Saccharomyces cerevisiae S288C: one gene and its partner. Changing the gene in region 1 together with any one later gene gives a genetic interaction. Each region holds a gene or a part of one and is shown in the gene's direction. Other genes may lie near its edges.

Evidence for each region. A genetic interaction does not mean that the proteins touch.
Region 2: mutations in KAR3 (region 1) and CHL4 together harm fitness more than expected from each alone (negative genetic interaction), as found in Saccharomyces cerevisiae (6 studies listed by BioGRID, with this or other methods).

Annotation. Positions count from the first base shown.
Region 1 is NC_001148.4:816,204-819,961, reverse strand, and holds the start of KAR3 (Kar3p), read left to right. Parts: upstream 1-2,038; coding exon 2,039-3,758. Other genes in the region: ribosome biosynthesis protein NOC4, read left to right, coding at 1-197; rRNA-processing protein RRP15, read right to left, coding at 887-1,639. UniProt on the Saccharomyces cerevisiae protein: Minus end-directed microtubule (MT) motor involved in spindle midzone assembly, poleward transport of newly captured kinetochores along the lateral side of MTs, karyogamy (nuclear fusion) during mating, and with an essential function in meiosis I.
Region 2 is NC_001136.10:963,110-966,867, forward strand, and holds CHL4 (Chl4p), read left to right. Parts: upstream 1-2,003; coding exon 2,004-3,380; downstream 3,381-3,758. Other genes in the region: CCR4-NOT core subunit BTT1, read left to right, coding at 303-752; MET32 (Met32p), read right to left, coding at 881-1,456; ubiquitin-protein ligase RMD5, read right to left, coding at 3,448-3,758. UniProt on the Saccharomyces cerevisiae protein: Component of the kinetochore, a multiprotein complex that assembles on centromeric DNA and attaches chromosomes to spindle microtubules, mediating chromosome segregation and sister chromatid segregation during meiosis and mitosis.

The DNA of each region.
Region 1 (3,758 bases):
TTAAGAAGCTAAGTTATAACATGGAAGATTTCTTAGACTGGAACTATGATTCTTTGCTCAATGCAGAATCTTCAAGAAAGTTGAAGACACTTCCTACGTTAGAATTTGAGGCTTTCACAAACGTTTTTGATAATGAAGACGGCGATAGCGAAGCGTCATCCCAAGGTAACGTCTACTTGCCTGGGGTAGCATGGTGAAAGCGAAGATGAACAACGAAGTTTTAAAAGTGTGTATATATACATTTATATCAACAGAGTCATCGATTTCCCTTGTTTGAGATGTAAAAAAAAAAAAAAATAGAAAATAGTAAGTCCCTGTTATCAATTTTGCCTAGGAAAAAAACCTGGGTCAAAAATAAATGGTCTCTAGCGGGATCGAACCGCTGATCCCCGCGTTATTAGCACGGTGCCTTAACCAACTGGGCCAAGAGACCATTCTATTGTTGAAGATTGTTTAATTTAGATAAACTTTCATAATGTTGAGAATTGCTTATTGCGATATATAAAGTTGAACCAAAGATCAATTTCTTTTTATGTATTGTAGAGAATTACAATTTGAAAAAGAGCTAAGGGAAATTGCTATATTCTAAAAGAAGTGCACAAGTACATTACCTTGAATTTTTATATTTATTCATGATATATTAATATTAATATATCGATGGTGAAGGACACCACACCTGTATTTCTTTGATTGAAAACAATTTTGTAACATTGGCTGCAAAAGTTTTTGCAATTGATATGAAACTATATGATAATATAGAATGCAAACAAAATTCAATTGCAAGGAGGAGGGAAGATATAGGGCCCCTTTCTCGCTTGACATAGACTAAATAATATACAGTTTTTATTTCTTTATTTTTTTTCTTCTTTTGACATGAACATGTTGATTATTCATTGTCGCTTCCTGCGGCAGCTTTAACTAAATCCAAAAATTTTTCTTTGGAAACTTCAGTGATCAATTCTTTCTTTTCTTCTTTATTCTTAATTTCGCTTAAATTTTCGGATACTTCCTTTTCTGTCTTGACTTGAGTTGCTAAAATGGCGTTAAATAATTTCACGGCACCTTTTTGAGCTATCTTTCTGAGCGCTGTCTCCTTCTCAAGGACTTTTCTAATATTTTCTGACCTGTCTTCTCCGGAAGCAATTGGAATAATATCCGTCTTTCTGGCTTTACCTAATAACTTTTTTTTTTCTGCCAACAATGCTTTTTTGGCCTTGTATTCTAGCTTTTCTGACTCACTTTGCTTCAGCACCTTTTTGTTTCTAGCCATGATGGGGTCCTTCCTGTCGTATGCTTTCAGATGTGATGATAAAATAGCATTTACTGCAGCAGAAAATCCAGTAGAACCATCATCATGTTTGCTGTTTTTCGATTTTTTCTTTCTTGGGAAGTCGTCGTCCTCTTCTTCTTCATCATCATCTTCTTCAGCATCACTTTGTTCGTTATCTATAATTTTAGATGATTCATCGCTAGAGCTATTCTGCTCGTCTTCTTCGGCTTCATCACCTTCCATTATTGTATCTTTTTCCGGCTCATTACTTAACTCTTGGTTGCCACTATTCCTTTTTTCACGCCCAAATTCTGCATTCTTTCTGGTTCTTTTCTTATCCTTAGTGTCTACTCTGTGCTTGGAGCCCATGATCAATTATGTACTGATTTTCCTTCGGCTTCTCTATCGCTTTATTCATAGCATCTGTTTATTACCTTTCCTTATATCTTATGGGCATCGAATCCTAGATTTTTTTCTTTCAAAATTTTCCAATAAGAGGGTAATGGAGATACACCAAAATGAATCTCAAACAAAATCAAAACAAACACTGTTTACAATTTGATGCGCCTCGAATCAAAATATGATGATGAGTATTACAGCTAAAAAAATTATCGAATATTATATAAGCATTAAAGCTATCAATTTTTCCGCTCTTTGTGTTTCTTATTATTCTATTTGAATATACCAGAACAACTATCCGGAGTCTTTGTTTAAAAAAGGTAGATTTTGAAATAAAGGACTTAGAGAAATTCTGGCAACTATTAAACTATGGAATCACTTCCACGTACTCCCACAAAAGGCAGATCTACGCAGCATCTCTCGACACCATCGCCGAAGAATGATATTTTAGCTATGAATGGCCACAAAAGAAGAAATACAACAACTCCACCGCCTAAGCACACTCTTCTGAAGCCGCAACGTACGGATATTCATAGACACTCATTAGCTAGTCAGAGTCGCATATCCATGTCACCTAATCGCGAGCTTTTAAAGAATTATAAAGGTACAGCAAATTTGATTTATGGAAACCAGAAAAGCAACTCCGGTGTAACTTCCTTTTATAAAGAAAATGTTAATGAACTCAATAGAACACAAGCAATCTTATTTGAGAAAAAGGCAACACTAGATTTACTCAAAGATGAACTAACAGAAACGAAAGAGAAAATCAATGCCGTTAATCTCAAATTTGAAACCCTTCGTGAAGAAAAGATAAAAATTGAACAGCAACTGAATTTGAAAAACAATGAACTTATCTCGATTAAAGAAGAATTTTTGTCAAAGAAGCAGTTCATGAATGAAGGACATGAAATACATTTAAAGCAGCTAGCGGCATCTAATAAAAAAGAGCTGAAACAAATGGAAAATGAATACAAAACAAAAATTGAGAAATTGAAATTTATGAAGATTAAACAGTTTGAAAATGAAAGAGCGTCGCTTTTAGATAAAATAGAAGAGGTAAGAAATAAAATCACCATGAACCCTTCCACTTTACAGGAAATGTTGAACGATGTTGAACAAAAGCATATGCTTGAAAAAGAAGAATGGCTTACAGAGTACCAATCGCAGTGGAAAAAGGATATAGAGCTGAATAATAAACATATGCAAGAAATCGAAAGCATAAAAAAGGAAATCGAAAATACATTAAAACCTGAGTTGGCAGAAAAAAAGAAGCTCTTAACAGAAAAGCGTAACGCGTATGAAGCTATCAAAGTAAAAGTTAAAGAAAAGGAAGAGGAAACTACAAGGCTGAGAGATGAGGTGGCATTAAAACAGAAAACTAATTTAGAAACTTTGGAAAAGATCAAAGAACTTGAGGAATATATAAAAGACACTGAACTGGGTATGAAGGAGTTGAATGAAATTCTGATTAAAGAGGAAACGGTTAGACGCACATTGCATAATGAGTTACAAGAGTTAAGAGGAAATATACGAGTTTATTGTAGGATTCGTCCAGCTCTAAAAAATTTGGAAAATTCTGATACTAGCCTTATTAATGTTAATGAATTTGATGACAATAGTGGTGTTCAATCTATGGAAGTGACGAAAATACAAAACACAGCGCAAGTGCATGAATTCAAATTTGATAAAATATTTGATCAACAGGATACAAATGTGGATGTTTTTAAAGAAGTTGGTCAGTTAGTGCAAAGTTCATTAGATGGATATAATGTTTGTATCTTCGCATACGGACAAACAGGATCTGGGAAAACTTTCACGATGTTAAATCCAGGTGATGGTATCATTCCGTCCACAATATCTCATATATTTAACTGGATCAATAAATTAAAGACAAAAGGATGGGATTATAAAGTTAACTGCGAATTCATTGAGATCTACAACGAGAACATCGTAGACTTATTGAGAAGTGATAATAATAATAAAGAAGACACAAGCATTGGCTTAAAGCACGAAATACGTCATGATCAGGAAACTAAGACTACCACGATAACGAATGTTACGAGTTGCAAGCTTGAGTCGGAAGAAATGG
Region 2 (3,758 bases), on another chromosome or scaffold:
ATACGCGAGCCCTTGTCTTTCCAATCCAAATAATCCGTTTTTGTTAATGATATGTTATATTTTATCTACTTATACATTTTATCTAAAACACTTTCTATTTGGTTAATGACCAACGAGGAAGTTTGTAGCTTCAACACAACTTTAGATCATGTAATAAACGGCATATGCTTTTAAATGCTTTGTTTTGTTTTTTTCTTTTTTTCCCGCTGTGACAGAAACAATTAAGTTGCGTTAAAAAGGTTCCCTGATAGAAATAAATACGGCTAAATTAAATAAACTACTACATAATCCTACAACATCAAATGCCTGTAGATCAAGAAAAATTAGCTAAGCTGCACAAGTTATCAGCAGCAAACAAAGTTGGTGGTACCAGAAGGAAAATAAACAAGAAAGGTAATTTATATAATAACAATGACAAGGATAATACCAAGTTACAAGCTGAACTTCATAAACTGCATCCAATGACCATTGAAAACGTTGCCGAAGCAAATTTTTTCAAAAAGAATGGCAAGGTTTTACATTTTAACAGTGCAGTTGTACAGATTGCCCCTCAATGCAATCTCACAATGATTCATGGCCAACCGAAAGAGAATACACTTAATGGGCTGTATCCGAGCGTAGCCTCTCAATTAGGTAGCCAAGAACTTGAGTATTTGACAGGTTTGGCTCATAACCTAGAAAATGAACAGACGGTGCTCGACCAGCTGGGCGACAGATGCAGCGAGACAAAACAACAAGTGATGAATAGCTGACATAGTTCATAATAATTGCCAGTAAACGTTATAGCTAGTGGCGAATGTCGAAGTGGAAATGCTATCACATTAATGTTGCAGATGAATATATATTTTCTTATTTGAGAAGATACACGCTATTTACTCTTTCAGCCATTACTGCTACCATTGTGGTTGTTATCTTGACGATGAACGATGTTGGATTGCTTGACTTTTTTCAGTAATTCATTGATACCCTCACCACCCGCAGTTAGTAATTTAGTCCTGTTTCTCCTACATGTCAGTGTATCATAATGTCTTTTCAATGCATCTTTCCTTGCAAAACCTTTGCCACATTGAGGACAAATGTTAGGCAATATGGCGAAGTGTGTCTTTTCGTGCCTTCTCAAATCTGATGATCTTGAAAATTCCAACGAACATTTCGCACATTTAAATCTTTTTTCACCAGTACTATTTCTACGATCTTGGGGTTTGCTTTTGCTGGACTTCGGTGGTTTTGGTAATGCGTTTTCCTTTTTAACCTTTATGTTACCGCCTTGACTATTTATATCAACACCATTTTCTGCCGGTATGAGTGCTGGTTTTTTATTTTGTAACCTGTTTTGCCTATTCCTTACCCTTTCTAATAACTCTTTTATTATAGGATCTATGTTATCTATATTTAATGATACATCCACTATTGCTTCTGTAGCCTGTTTGATAAATGCAGCATCCTGATCCTCCATTTGGTACTTTTTTGAAATTTATAATACCTCTTGACTTTTTTCCACTATATTATTAACAAATTCTTGGCATATGACATGAAACCCTATTCAATTATCCAGATGCATACATATATACCATGGATAGATATGTATATCTACTATATCTATATATACCTCGTCAATGTAATGAGGAAAGTTCCGAGGGCGACAAAGAGAACAAATATAGTTTTATTTATAATAATGATACAGAACTCAAGATTATTTCCTGCTTATTTTAAACTAAAAGTATAGCAAGTTCTAACCCACAATCAGGTTCTTTATTATTGTCAAGAAAATATAAACTGTGGCGTACTAAGCGTACTAAGTAAGGGACGAAAAACCATCACAAAATGTCACGTGCATGTTAGTCCAGTCGGGCAATAGATAGGGACTGTAAATTAAAGTTTATATTGAAATAAACAAAGGTAAATGGTAAAAGATTAGAAGCATAGAAAGCATCTGGCGTTATTTTAGCGGGGAAAGATTTTGGTGGATACTATCTTTGACTAGTATATTTGAGTAGCAATTAATGTCTAACGAATTACGGCTTGAAGATAACTATGTACCAACTTCCGACACACTAGTAGTTTTCAAACAATTGATGAAGCTGCCGGTAACGGTATTATATGATCTTACGCTATCATGGTTCGCAAAATTCGGTGGGTCATTTGATGGTGACATATATTTATTGACAGAAACATTAGACTTACTGATTGAGAAAGGCGTGAGGCGAAATGTTATAGTAAATAGGATATTATACGTATACTGGCCGGATGGCCTGAATGTTTTCCAATTAGCAGAAATAGATTGCCATTTAATGATAAGTAAACCAGAGAAATTTAAGTGGCTTCCATCAAAAGCTTTACGGGGAGATGGGAAACCTTACGTAGTAAAGCTCCAACCTGCCAAATTTATAGAAAATTTACAAACAGATCTAGCGAAAATTTACCATTGTCATGTTTACATGTTTAAACATCCCTCTTTGCCAGTGTTAATTACCAGAATACAGCTATTTGACAGCAATAATTTATTTTTGAGTACGCCTAATATAGGGAGTATAAATAAAGAGTCTCTTTACAACAAGTTAGACAAATTCCAAGGGAAACCATTAATATCAAGGAGACCATATTACGTTGCATTCCCGCTAAATTCTCCAATAATTTTCCATTCAGTTGACAAGGATATTTATGCTAGACTAGTTTTGCAGAGCATTAGTCGAACGATATCAGAAAGAGAAACAATCATCTTCAAACCGGTACAGAAAATACCCGTGAAATCAATACATAATATAATGACTTTATTAGGACCTTCGAGATTTGCGGAGTCTATGGGCCCATGGGAATGTTATGCTAGTGCTAACTTTGAACGGTCACCACTACACGACTACAAAAAGCACCAAGGCCTTACTGGTAAAAAGGTAATGGTTAGAGAATTTGATGATTCTTTCTTAAATGACGATGAGAATTTTTACGGAAAAGAAGAACCTGAAATTAGACGACTAAGGTTAGAGAAAAACATGATCAAATTCAAAGGTTCAGCAAACGGCGTAATGGATCAGAAATATAATGATTTGAAAGAATTTAACGAACATGTCCACAATATTAGGAATGGAAAGAAAAATGAAGATTCTGGTGAGCCAGTGTACATTTCTAGATACAGTTCCTTAGTTCCTATTGAAAAAGTTGGATTCACTTTAAAAAACGAAATAAACAGTAGAATAATTACCATAAAATTGAAATTTAATGGTAATGATATTTTTGGGGGATTACACGAACTATGCGATAAAAATTTAATAAATATTGATAAAGTTCCTGGGTGGTTGGCTGGAGAAAATGGATCGTTCTCAGGAACGATAATGAATGGAGATTTTCAGCGAGAGCAGGTTGCTAAAGGTGGTTTACTGTAGAAAACTACTGTGTTCTGTTATCGCTTCCAATAAAAAAAAAAAAAAAAAACCTATGCAAAAATTTCAGTCAAAGCATAACAAAACGAACCTTTTTTGTACTGCTCATTGAAGTATTTACGGGGCAGTATGGGCACTTGAAAGTAATTGTTCCGTTCTTCGATAATCTGTCTAGCGCCTTTTTAGAAATGATGTGATGGCATGCCAGTGAATAAGGAGGATTTTCTGTAGTGGTTTCCTCCTTTAAGACGGGACAGATGAAGATCGGATGGAAATGAGTCAGAAAATCTGGTAACTTGACATCAAATGGCAACTCATCTTTCGTAGTCCAGTCAACGTGCGCTAACTCCCTGATGGTTTTGTATTTGATGAAAAATTGGA